Styela clava: one gene and its partner. The protein of the gene in region 1 binds, or shares a complex with, the protein of each later gene. Links are inferred from orthologs where the notes say so. Each region holds a gene or a part of one and is shown on either strand. Other genes may lie near its edges.

Evidence for each region. Proteins that work in one complex are often made in the same cells at the same time.
Region 2: the proteins of acylglycerol kinase, mitochondrial-like (region 1) and mitochondrial import inner membrane translocase subunit Tim29-like are in contact, whole or in part, in a cryo-EM structure (PDB 7CGP), measured with the Homo sapiens proteins. The link is inferred for Styela clava from reciprocal best matches to the Homo sapiens genes AGK and TIMM29. Residues at the interface, in NP_060708.1 of Homo sapiens: His33, Asn36, Arg39, Arg40, Cys43, Gln44, Gln47, Asn51, Lys82, Pro86, His89, Leu90; in NP_612367.1 of Homo sapiens: Tyr145, Gln146, Cys149, Arg150, Tyr151, Leu152, Gln153, Arg155.

The regions. Positions count from the first base shown.
Region 1 is NC_135253.1:879,015-886,132, forward strand, and holds acylglycerol kinase, mitochondrial-like, read right to left. Parts: upstream 3,067-7,118; 5' UTR 2,518-3,066; coding exon 1,240-2,517; 3' UTR 178-1,239; downstream 1-177. UniProt on the Homo sapiens protein: Lipid kinase that can phosphorylate both monoacylglycerol and diacylglycerol to form lysophosphatidic acid (LPA) and phosphatidic acid (PA), respectively. Does not phosphorylate sphingosine. Phosphorylates ceramide.
Region 2 is NC_135262.1:15,093,531-15,100,305, forward strand, and holds mitochondrial import inner membrane translocase subunit Tim29-like, read right to left. Parts: upstream 1,790-6,775; 5' UTR 1,467-1,789; coding exon 816-1,466; 3' UTR 558-815; downstream 1-557. Other genes in the region: dnaJ homolog subfamily C member 27-like, read right to left, coding at 1-511. UniProt on the Homo sapiens protein: Component of the TIM22 complex, a complex that mediates the import and insertion of multi-pass transmembrane proteins into the mitochondrial inner membrane.

The DNA.
Region 1 (7,118 bases):
TTTGAAATGACCCTTCTGAACCAGCAACAAATAAGAATGCTGTCGATGTCACTTTTCAGGAACTTGTAACGATTGACATACTCACTCACTGGAAATCTTATAACTACCTGAGCGTTCATCGGTGTACCGAAATAAAATCTACCTGTAGTGAAGCGTATACTGATCGAAAAACAGAAATCAGTGTTTTGATCGTTTAATCTGAACATGAAAAACTAACAGCAAAACATCTCTTATACCCCATACTGGTATATGATCTTATGCGTTTCATTGTAGTAACAAAATTGAACATTCGAGAAGAATAAAAAACGATTAAACAAAAAATGTTGAATTATTTAAAGTATAATATTAACAACTATCTACTGATATTTCCACCTCCTTTACTTAAATATAGCTCTTAGAATGTCAGTGGAAATTTGTTTAACTCTGCACTTTTTGTTGAAAATCAAACGATTTACCTATACGAAGAACAGTTGAGAACTGGGATGTTCGAACGAATTTATAATTTGAAAATGGTGAATATTTGATTTTTCGATATTTATATTATGGTATGTTTGAAAAGTAAAACTTGGTGGTTTATGAGTGGAATTCTCACAAAAATATATATTCATCAAACATGGCCAAATTTAAAATGTATTTGTGAACAGTAATTGAGACTGTATTTGGAATATTGGATAATTTTATTCTGAACAATTTAAACTGAAAGTTTTATCCCGCTTTTCAAGCAGACTATATGTTCGATTCAAAACCGTACTATTCATTTTATGTTAAATTGTTCTGGAACAGGCAATACCAAATCAAAGAGTATGCCAAAGCATGAGTTTTTAACTTGGAGCATATGGACTTGGAAAGAATTTCATTTACGCGAAACAATAGGAAAGAGCAGTACAAAAATTTGCAGAAAGAGTTAAGGCAGTCTGTTTTGAAGCTAATTTAATTAAAAAGTCCTCATAAGGCAGTATGAAGGGCGGACTGAAATACCACCTTAGTCTATGTTCGACATTAACTTATTAGAATCGGGTTGCACATTGTATTGTATTTTGAAAAAAGGGAACATCCTCATTGTAAATCTACAATACCAGGAATTTTAAACTATTAATGACATTATAAATCAATCCAAGGGAGTGGAAAATCAGGGGAAAGGATGGCTTAATTATGTGGCGAACCATGGCCTCTTGTGCGGTTACCAGTCCATGTTGGGTAATGGATTAGATAGACAGTTAATTCGTTGCAGAAACCTTTTTATTTTGAACAAATCATGTTAATGCAATTGGGAACTAATTGGACAGATAAATCCATTGCTTCATATCTATCATTATCAATACTAATGTGTTGCTCGTAATTATCAGATAATTGTGATGATAACTTTAATTTATCCACTTCAAAATCAGAGTCAGTGTTAACAAATGGGTGATCACCCTTTTGGAATATAAATGGGCCATGTGTAACAAAATCAGTGTACGACACATTATTAGACTCGAGCTGTACTTGTATCGAGGCTTTCTCTCTTCCCTCAGAATTCAAATGCTTATTCGCTTGAGCAAAAAACTCAATGCTTGTTTTGGGTAAATCATTCCAATTTTCTTCAATTAACTCAGCAGTTTGTTCAATGAGTGGCTCTGATTTTGATTTCCAAGGCCAGAACCTGTAAAAGATTTTGGAGAGAAGGGAAGACACCGAAAGGCCAGAACTGTTTTCCACACAATTTTCTTCTAGGGAAATAGGAACAACCTCAGGGTCTGTGTATGATATAGAAAATGTTCTTGGCTTTGTAGGGTCAGACTTCAATAAAGACAAAACAAATGGTATGTATGATTTCAGAGGGCCGAGAAACCAAAACTTTTTTATTCTATCCTGAAGATCACTATAGGTGCCCCAACTGATACTTGAAACAGCATACACAGTTTTCCCAGTCGAACCATCAATTTTCATAACATCCACAGGCGTTTGTATACTTCTGGTTATGGCAGATGCTGCGCTACAAATAAAATGAGGTTGTTTATCATGATCCGCATTTTGAATCAATCTCTTACACATTGTATTTTTCTTGCCGAGAGGAATAATTCCAATAGGAATCTTCTTCCAATTTGAATCTGGTCGTCGCATTAAACCTGTGACAATTTCACTTAGAGTTCCATCGCCGCCAGCACAAATAATCATATCAATGTCATTGTTGACAACAGACATAAGTTTTTTAGCTTCTCCCTCATAGTTTAATTTCACCAGATGCACATCATAACCAGCAAGATGTAGTATTGGGGCTGCATACTTCTCATACAAAGCATTTGCTTTTCCACCATTCGCAGCAGGGTTCAAAAGAACTGTGACACGCTTTGCGTCTTGAAGTTCATGTAAACTTTTTTGTCCAAGCTTTACAGCTGTTTGACATTCAGCCCTTCTGAAAAGATGCGCTATGTATCTTTTTTCTGCCCATTTTCCGAACCATGCTAAGACGATTGCACCAGCAATAGACTTTTTTGGATTGTTTTTCACAGCTTTTGCAAACCTAATTACAACCATAATCTGTAAGTTATTTGCAGAACTGATGACCAAACTGCGATAAATTTTGACAAGTAAGATAAATTTCGAATTACCGCAAGTAGGTACCGTACCAGTGCCCGGTCTGCAGGTCTGGTGTGACGTTACCGCGTTGAGGGGGAAAAAGCCGGAACAAAAATATGGCGAACCATGGCCCACGTCCTGACGTGTGACGTCCGGTTACAGTACCGTACCGGTCCATGTCGCGATGTGGGTTAGGTACCGGTATGGGATTAGTTGGCCAGTTACTGGTTCCACATGCAGACATGCATCGAAGCATGGACTTGGTCGGCTGGAGCCAAAACCGACCTGCAACATGACGTGATTGTGACGTTGTAGTAACGTACCGTAATTTAAAGAAACCCATAGCCTATGCAAAAATGGTCATGCCACCCCCACTAGAAGTACTCTAGGTACCAGTACGGTACTACACTAAAACCCAATTTCCAGCACACGTTACACGGCATCTCCATGCCTGACCAATCAGTAGTAAACCATGGCCTGACGCCGACTGCCGCAGGAGGTCCCTTAGCTGTTGATCCTTGAACTACTTTGAAACCTCAGTTGCCATATTTAGTCTCACTGTGCTACGCCTATTCATATTTATTTACCTACCGTACTTTAGTTTATAATAGATCAGTGGTTCTCAACCGGAGGCTGGTGCCCCCCTAAGGGGGTCACGACACAATGCTAATAATTGACCCTAAAACGATTTCGTTTGCATATTTTCCTTTTATAATAAAATTCTCTGCGGCGTTCACCGCAGTTTAATTGCCTGAATAGGTTGATATGTATTCACTTTCTTGTGCGTGAATTGTTTGAGCATAATGGACCTTTCCCCGACCTTTGATCCCTGGAAAATTCTTCCTATACTTTACCATTGCAAAATTTTCAGTGCTATTTTAGGAATGCTTTTGCGAGTTGGCGCCTGTAAAATGGGGTATGTGTTTCAAACCATCATTATGATTCATCGCACACAACAATCTGTTTTTTAAAAGTACCGGTAGATAATTTCAGGCTAGTCTATCACAGCTATTTCTACACTAATTTTTATTACTGCAATTAAATTAAAACTCCTAGGAAGACAGAGTGATCATTGAATTATATGATTTTTTATTAAGTTTCCGAAACACAACTGAAAACTAACGAATAGAGTTCAAAAACGCGAAAACGAGGTAATGTTTACAACCACGCTTGAAAATCTGTCTGAGTGAGAAAAGTGTCTGAGCGGATGCGAAAAGGGGGCATTGTTACGTCACATTTTGCATCTTGCTGATTGGCCAATGTCACGAAGTAAACAAGGAAGTCGATGCTCGGGGAAAGGTCCATGGAATATGAAATCTACCAATATAGTTCGCTGGTAAGCCGTCTAACCTGTAATTTCACTAGACTGCGAGATAACCTTCGCTATCGTATTATAGACGGAAATCCCAAAATACGAAAATGGAACGACAGTTACTTTGGCTTTACAAAAGTAAGTCGAGATGACCGAGAATGTCCTCAATACTTGCATTGCTCGTATGTAAAGAGCAATGAATCATTAAGTCCATCTAAACTCCAAAACCACCGTGACAAAAATCATCACCGGGTAAAAGCGTTGATATCGGATTCTTGGCTGCCAAGCGAGTTAGATTGACAATAAAGCAACATTGGCCAAGTTAGGGTTTCTGCCGGAGGATAAGCCCGCTTTTGAATGCAGCTTTGAAGTGGCATATCACTACTTTTACCCATTACTAAGAAAGAAAGCTTCTTCACTGCTAGTTCATTTGTCGCAAGTTGCGACTCGCAACTTATCTGTAAGTCGTCAGACAGTCCCGAGCGATTCCCACTCATTGTATACTAGAAAGCTCTTATACTTTCTTGTCCGTGGTTTGCTTTTGCATTCCATAAAAGGTAATAAAAACTTAATACAATCCAACACGTTTGGTTTTTTGGAATGGCGAATGGCCACGAGTGCAAAAAAGCGCCGGAAAGGGGTCACGAACCATAAAAGGTTGAGAACTGCTAGAATATATGATGTGACGCTAGAGCTCTATCATGGTATTTTTGGAAAGTAAAACTTGGTGGTTCACAAGTAGAATTAACTGCCTCCATGCAACGCTGCCTCTGAGATCTGACCTCTGGTTGGGTAAAATCAATGTTCAACCAAAGTATTCTAGATCTTTTTTCAAAAAATCCCCTAAAAAATTTTTCTGCATTGGTAACATAAAATCACTTTGGGGCCATTTGTATCTAAAAATTCTTCGTTGTAGACTTACTTGTTGAATATTTTGGATTTCTATTATTAAATCTGAAATAAATTCATTTTTTTACTTTCGGATTATACCTATTGAAAATGAGTTTTGAAACTTCCATTTTTGATGATGACAGTTCTTTGTTAAAAGGCCATAAACATCAAATACAGGCTTTGAGTGCTGTTCAAAAAGAAACAATGGACCTTTCCCCGAGTATCGACTTCCTTGTTTATTTCGTGACATTGGCCAATCAGCAAGATGCGAAGAGTGACGTAACAATGCCCCCTTTTCTCACTCAGACAGATTTTCAAGGCTGGTTGTAAACATTACCTCGTTTTCGCGTTTTTGAACTCTATTCGTTAGTTTTCAGTTGTGTTTCGGAAACTTAAATAAAAATCAGATAATTCAATGATCACGCTGTCTTCCTAGGAGTTTGTTGTAGAATTTTCATTGTAGAAATAGCTGTGATAGACTAGCCTGAAATTCTTTACCGGTACTTTTAAAAAACAGTTTGTTGTATGCGATGAATCATAATGATGGTTTGAAACACATACCCCATTTTACAGGCGCCAACTTGCAAAAGCACTCTTAAAATAGCCCTGAAAATTTTGCAATGGTAAAGTATAGGAAGAATTTTTCGAGGGTCAAAGGTCGGGGAAAGGTCCATAACAATGGCGTGATTTTTTTCAATCACTAAGTTTCGCCTACTGAAACAAAACCAAAATTTATATAGTACCAAGTAAAATTTCTGATTCCGGCCAAAGGCAAAATATTTATTGTTTACTTCTTCGAAACTGAATCACTCTGAAAAATATTTTTGAATCTAGAATATATTTCATATTAAACTATGTCCAAAATATATATACTTAATAGTACACAAAACACGCATCTACAGGCTGTTACATCGAGAATCGCATTCACTTTATTTTTGTTTTGACTTAAACATTGCGTCCGTTTAACTTGTGTAGTAATTTATTTGTTATTGTTGACGCCGTAATTTCCCTTGATTGACAGTGTGCTTCTACACACTTTGTTACGAAACAATTGTGAGAGTCTTCGTGGCAATTGCTTGCCCAGACATGTCTCGCTTAGACAGGGATAGTTTCGGTAATTTGTTTTAGATAGCGCTTTACTTTTATAGGAGAATGGCGCTCGTTTCGTTGTAATTTGTAAATAAGTTAAAATTGTTCAGCGACCTTGACTTTCTGTTTTGACAGTAGGACGATTAAATAATGTAGATTATGGCTGCCCCACATAGGCCTAGTTTAGGGATATTTTATGAGCATTAGATTGCCTTTGTGATTGTTTTTACAGTTATAGTTTATTTAATTGATTTGTTCGGATTTCATGGACGAATGATTTCTTAATCTACTTATGATAATTTAAGCCTGGAATAGCAGACAACAAAATGTTTGTTAAATGTGTTCATAAATTTGAGTAGGCTTTCTAAAGGCCGAATTGTGTACGATTATTTATTTATTACAAGTATTTTGTATTGATTTGTTTTTACGTTTGTATTAAGATAACCGTGTCAACTGTATACTTCGAGTTGTGTGATTTTCTGGAGTGAGGATACGAACTTGGAGCTTGAAAGACCGCGTTATTGAACTGTTAATAAATATCTAGGTTCCATTACATTTGAACCCACGTACATTTGAACCCATGACAATTGCACCTGTATGCTATTGCACCTATAGAATTTTTTTTGTTTCACGGATAGTTAAACCCATACTAACCCTAACCCATGGGTTTTAGCACCCGCATATAGATTGAACCTGTGAATATACGCATGGGTTCAAATGTACATGGGTTCAAATGTACGGTCACCAATATCTAGTGTGCAGTCGGTGTCGTCCAGGTCACAAAGAACGGCTGTTACATTAAAGTTATCGAATTTCCGCAAATAAAGTTATCAAAATTTGCATATAACGTTTGGTATTGCATTAATAAAGTATCGTCGAATGCCGACAGGAGTTCAGTAAATCGTCAAAATTGAAGAAATCATCGTACTGTTGAATATTTAAACTTTTGTTGCATGTTTGAAGAGCACTGTAATTGTACATTATAGATGCAGAATCTGTTTCGAAATCAAATTTAGAAGAGTTACGTGCTCGTATGAAGGAATTATATCAAGATGCTGAGAGACTTATGTCAGACTACCAAAATCTAGATTTGTTGAAATTGAAAAGTGCTGACATTGACAAACGGTTCACAGAGTATTCAAATGCTCATGAAATTCATGTGAGTACTTTACGTTCTGAAGAAGATCGAAGAAATGTCAGTGAATTTTTCCAGTGTGAACTGCGCGAGTTTCAAGAATTCAATGTGCACTTACGCGATTGGTTCAAA
Region 2 (6,775 bases), on another chromosome or scaffold:
CCCCCGTACCGGCTGATGTTTCAAAATAATGAAAACCTTTTCCATCTGCCCATAATCTTCCTTCTGTTGTATCAACCACTCTGTTACCTTTATCAGTTTTGTTAGCGCAAACAAAAAATATCACATTGTCCATTTTTTGAGGTTTTCCAATTTCTTGCCGCATTTCTTGTAACCATGATTCAAGGCATTCGAAACTGACACGGTTTGTTACATCATAAACAAGAATTGCAGCTTGTGTGTCTTTGTAAAACTCATTTCGTACTTCGTAAAAGTAGGGATGTCCTGCCATATCGAAAATATTTACTTTCAGTTCTTTATCATTTACTTGTACTTTTGTGACACCATAATCAATCCCAATAGTCGCCAGATATTTATTTACAAATCTCTTTTCACAGTATCGCTTGATTAAACAGCTTTTACCAACTTCGGCATTGCCCATGCTAATTACTTTTACTCTTATACTTCGAGGATGACCTTTTTTACGGGTCAGTGGATTGGTGTTGGAAGACATAACTAGAATGTTGTTAACGTAAACCTAAACAATAAATGACATTGAATTAAATGTAGACTAACAAACTGGATACCAGATAAAAAATGCTTGGAAAAAACAAAAGCTAAGCAATTAATTACAAATTTTTACTCCGCGTAGTTCAAAACATTATGAAAACCATAACAAACAAATAAAAAGAAACAAATTTATGACCTCAGAACTGATGAATTTATTGATGTTTAACCACATAAAAGTTTAAATACCTTGTAGTGAATTAAACAATTTTAATAGGTGATTGAAAAAAGACAAAATACCAGTATGTATTCTATTCAACAACTTCAATTGCTTTTCTAACTTTTCTTTGCTCAGATAAAGGAATAGCAGGATTTCCAAAATATGAAATTTCCAATATTCTGTTGAAAAAGTCTTTTATTTGTGCCCATGTGGAATCAAGGTCTTTTGGAAACTCTTCAAAATTTATATCATAGTCTGTTGTATGGTATCTCAGCACCCACCATCGTCGATATAAACCAATATCCACTATTCGATTATGAAATTCCCTCCATTTTGGACGTAAAAATTTACATTGCGATTCATAATGCTTATTAGTTACGTCATAATCAGTATAATAAATTAGAGAGAAAATCACTAAATTTTGATGGCGAATTCGTCCCTTTGCAAAATATCCAGAAACTTTTTGAATGTGTTCATCTGATTCTTTGTTTCGAGTTTTATCATTCAATAATACAATTTCATTAGACTTGTCTACAAGCTTTGCATAAAACTCGGTTTCGGTCGGCATTGTCCGATTGAGTCGGATTCCAAATAGCAATAATCCTGTATACATTGTTGTTTTACCTGGGTTTTCCTTCATATATTGCAAAGACTCTAGAGCTGAAGTTCTATAATCGACAATAGCAGTCTTGAGTGATGTTTTCAACCTTTCACCAATACCACGAACCTTCAATGCTGCCATCACAATTATCAGATTGTAATAATCGATAAAGTACTGAACTAGGCAAACAATAGATTCATAGGTATTCTACTTCACAGGATTATTTAAAACTTTTTCGATTTCTCATAAATATAAAAAATTGATATTAGCATTAGAAAGAGATGACAAAACTCAAAATATTCAAAATGCAGGGGTCTAGCGAAGCAATCGCTGTAACTCCTTAAAATAACGTCAAACAAAATGAAGTTTCCATGTTTTTTTTTCAAGTCAGTTAAATGAAATTCTTGACAGATGTGTTTAGTTAAATCAAACCGACTCATGTTCCAACTAAGCAGGTCATGTCAAACCGTAGGATAGGATTCACATATTTATCCCGGGGGAGAGGAAAGTCGATAAGACGGCTTATCCATATGGCGAACCACGGCCTCTCGTCCGGTTATTATTGAAAGTCGGGTATGGGATTAGTTATATTGTTTGTTTTCGGAAGCATGGACTTGGTGATGGAGGAAGCCGTAACCGACCAGCGGTTACGTTAGGGTGACCATATGTCCAAATCCTAAAAGGAGGACACATCGTTTGGTAGAACCATATTCCACCTGTGCCTGAGATATACGCGTTATATATCTACTAAATTCTCTAGAATTAAAAGTAGAGGCGACAATAGTCGATGTGACGACAATGCAATAATGCATTCTTGTCAACGAGAAACTGTAGCCGCAAGTAATGCACTCCGCCTCGCAATCAGCTCGATCTTTTGCAGTTCTTAACTTTTGCAGGTCTGCCAAAAAACCCCGAACCGCTATTGTGCAAGCTCCCTTTTAATCTCATCAACGGTTGAAATTAGGAGCGCAAATAAAACGTCACAATACTGCAATAGAGAAGCAAATTTTGTGCATGGTTATAGAAAATGAACATTGTGGTGTAACCTTTGATACCAATAGCAATAGGTGCGTGGAAATAATCATTGTTGTTTGTGTCAATTATTTCCTAAATTCAACCTGTTTCTAAAACTGAGCTATAATTTATTAGTAGATTAGGAATGAGGTGCTGCGCACGCAATAACTTATAACCCCGAGGTTTGTCATAACAACCCAAGGTGATTTCAACCTATTTTGTATTCGGGGTCTCATATTTCAACGCTTGTCATATGTGATCTGATAATTACAAGTTTCGCACATAACCATCCCTGCATGGGATTCGAACCTGCGAACCCACGCAGAGTAATTAGAGGTGCGGTGGCGAGCGTATTCCCAGAGCTTAGCCCATTGGTTGAGCCACACCGCGGCGCGCGTACCTCAAGTCTGCAAGTAATTTACAACAATTTGACAATCCTAACCTCCACCTCACTGTGTCATCCAAAAATTACGTGAGCGTGGTAGAATGTCTTATCCTACCGACTAGTAAATTTACCCTAAGAGGAACCTGAAGTTCCTGAAAGCAGTGCTACAGTGCTATCTTGAAAACCAACAGCTGATTCTATGACAGACTGACGCCTTCTTGAATTTCGGCAGTCCGCATGTGTGTGTGTGTTAGGAGTCACATGGAGCTTTCAGCTCGGGTTCAAGGTCCGTTTCGTAAATTATATTAGAAACCGGCTCGGCGATGTAGCGACTAAGCGTTTGGAATACGCTCACCACCGCACCTCTGATTACCCCACGCGGGTTCACATCCGGTGGGGGCTAATTAGGTGTGAGAGGTTTGCTGGACACCTGGCCGAGGTAGGGTGGTACGCGCTACATGGGTGGTGGCTCCTCTACGTCCCATCTCATTGGGCCATATGGGCCGTGGCCCATCAAGCTATGGGCCGCGGCCCTATCAGAAAAAATTCAATTATCTTACCAAAATTCTCAATTTTCACAAAATTGTCAATATTCGAACCAAAAAAAAACGCGGTATGCCGCCAAATTTTTTTTTTACGATAAGCCTTTATAGAGGACTTGCACGGGTCACGTGACTTTGTTACTGGACGGCAATAAAACAAAAACGTCCATTTGGCTCCTGTCAGTTGCAAGTCGGATTATACGTTTCCGTTTTGTTTGGCTGTTGAAAATTGTTATTTCGTATTGTTCCGTTGGCCTTACGTATAGTATAGACAACGAAATGGATCTTCAGGTATATTCCACTGATTTCAAAAGATCCGGAACGTCGCGCAATGTGGATATCATCTATTGCATTGGCAGAACTGCTTGGTGTAAAGTCCAGAAGCCTTCTTACATGTGTTTCACTGTTTGCGGACAGCACTTCGTTGATGGTGAGTGATAATGTGGTGATAGTGTGCCGTTATCAATTTCTTCAAATATTCACGAGCTCCCTCATTTCAATGGAAAGCAGATGACAAACTACTGTTATTAGTAGGCCTACTTGCAGTTGCAGACTTGACTTGTGTAAGACAGTAAGGAATTAATAATCAATTGCTATAAGGTATTGTTTCCCTAATTAGCAGGTAATCTATTACTAAGTGTGAAAGGTTGAATAGATAACTAAAGTTTAACACCAGTGGTCACGCAAAAAATAACCAGAATTCAATTGAATTCGCCATCTAGGAATACGCTCGCCACCACATCTCTGATCACCCTGGGTTTCAATCCCAGAGAGGATTGCAGCTCTACTCCCACCGAGGGTGGTTCTCATAACCGCTGATCGGTTACGACCATTCCCCACCATGCAAGTCCATGCTTCTGAAAACAAATAACTGGACACCTTCTGACCAATAATGAAGATTTCTTTCAATTTAAAACGCAATTATGCCTACCAATGTGGGTAGTTTTCAGGATAGAATTTATCTGTGGTTGGGGGACAGATTGCAAGGTGCAACATCGTACGATTACCATTCTATGTCGGGATTAGTTAGCCAGTTATTTGTTTTAGAAGCATATACTTGATGGTGGGGGATGTCGTAATCGACCAGCGGTCGTGGGAACCATCCTCAGTGGAAGGAGAGCTGCAATCCCTCGCACATAACTATCCCCGCATGGGATTGGAACCTGTGAAACTCCCAGGGAGATCAGAGATGCGGTGGCGAGCGTATTCTTAGATAGAGAATTCAATTGAATTTTGGTTATTTTTTGCATTAGCACTGGCGTTAAACTTTAGTTATCTATTCAACTTTTCACACTTACTGATAGATTACCTGCTAACTAGGAAAACAATACCTTATGGCAATTATTGATTAATACCTTACACGAGTCAAGTCTGCAAGTAGGCCTACGCCTAGGCCTACCAATAACAGTAGTTTGTCATCTGCTTTCCATTAAAATGAGAGAGCTTATGAATATTTGAAAATTTGATAACGGCACATGATGACTCACCATCAACGAAGTGCTGTCCGCAAACAGTGAAACACAAGTGAGATGGCTTCTGGACTTGACACCAAGCAGTCCTGCCAATAGATGATATCCACATTGCGCGGCGTTCCGGATCTTTTGAAAACAATGGAATATAACTGAAGATCCATTTCGTTGTCTATACTATACGTACAGTCAACGGAACAATACGAAATAACCATTTTTAACAGTCAAACAAAACAGAAACGTATAATCCGACTTGCAACTGACAGGAGCCAAATGGACGTTTTTGTTTTATTGCCGTCCAGTAACAAAGTCACGTGACCCGTGCAAGTCCTCTATATAAAAATAAAGCAAAATACCAAGATACAGAAAAGAATACTCCTGTAGTATGTGTACCAGGTTAGGGTTAGGACAAAATTTAGTTCAGATTTTTCACATTATAGTTCTATTATTAGTTCGGGGACTGTCTGTGTTAGCCAGGTGAATAGTCCCGTTACACAACTCGATGGGCCGCGGCCCATAGCCTGATGGGCCGAGGCCCAATTCGATAGGCCGTGATCCCGGCCCATGGGCCGTAGATGAGTCACCACTTCCACTCGGTACGCGTGACCGCTCTCGGTTACGGCTTACTCCACCGTCAAGTTCCACGCATTTGAAACAAATAGGTGGCTAACTAAGTCCATAACCGACTGTGGCCGTGGTTCGCCACATAATTCTTTTACCCGAGATACATATGTAAATTCTGTTCTAACCACCTACAGCTCAAAAAAACATTTTGCATCAGATTTGCATAAGATATTTCTAATCTATGTTCAAAATAAATATTGTATCTCTGAAATGAGCTTTATTGAATGTGGAGTTCCCAGGTTACTATGATTGACCCGCTGGTATTTTTACGCTACATAAACGATCTACCTTTTTGGCCTCTGCATTTTATTCAACATTGTTTGCAGGTGATACTTCTCTGTTAAAATCAGCATCTCGTGTTTCAGAACGTTAAACCGTAGTAGTATATATATACGGTTAAACTGTATGCGGAATCGACTTCGGAATCGATTCTTCGTGGATTCGACTAGATGTGATTCTTATTTGGAAAGAAAAACAATAAATACGTCAAAGCAACAAAGGAGTTTGCAGTTTTGCTCCCCTGAAATTTGGGTATTTTGTTCTAATCTGCTGTATATATGCCTAATGTTTTTTCAATGGTTGTTGAGTAATTGCAAACTACAAACCTGAATAAACTGAGCCGAGTTTGTCATTAGGCAAGGTAGGCTGAAGCCCAGGTGCCTCAGGACATCGACAGCCCTCGACATTCTATTTTTTCTTTAAAATTTTATAAAACTGATATTTGTTTAAATTTTCAATCAGGGTAATATTTATTGTCCCGAATATCTATCGCGGCCTCTATTTATTTTTTGAGTGCGATGACGCCATCAAAGTTAAAATTCGTCTACCTTGTGGCGTGATATCTGGTCACGATGTATATCTGGTCATGTTGTCCATCAGCTTTGTTTAAAATAATGGATATTGTTGAATATTTGATACCGCAATGAGATTGATACATACTGAAATGGATGAGAGATACACAATCGTCAATAAGGAATGACTCCAATCAACGGCGTATCTAGGGTGTGGCAGCCATGGCTCGTGCCATGGGCGCCGTTTGAACAGGGGCGCAAAACAGGGAAAAGTATTTTCCATAAAAGGTTATAAGGATTTCAATTTCAACCGACCTAGAAGTACAAGATCATCGTGGTAAATAATACATATATTCATTCCAACTGCTTTCATTACAGTAGTGATGTAAATTGTATAATTTAATATTCATTTGGATTTCAATCACATTTGTAAACAAGAGAGCTATGCTCAAATATATGGACACGTTACGCTGTTTGAAATTGATAAAAGTAATAGCCTTCTAGAAAAAAATTCAAGCTTTACCTACTGAAAATTCCAAAGCAATTGGCCCAGTAATCAAAGAGAAAAGCGATTTTTTTAAAACGTGTCAAAGAACAAGGATAAGAACAAGTGAGCTATGCTCGA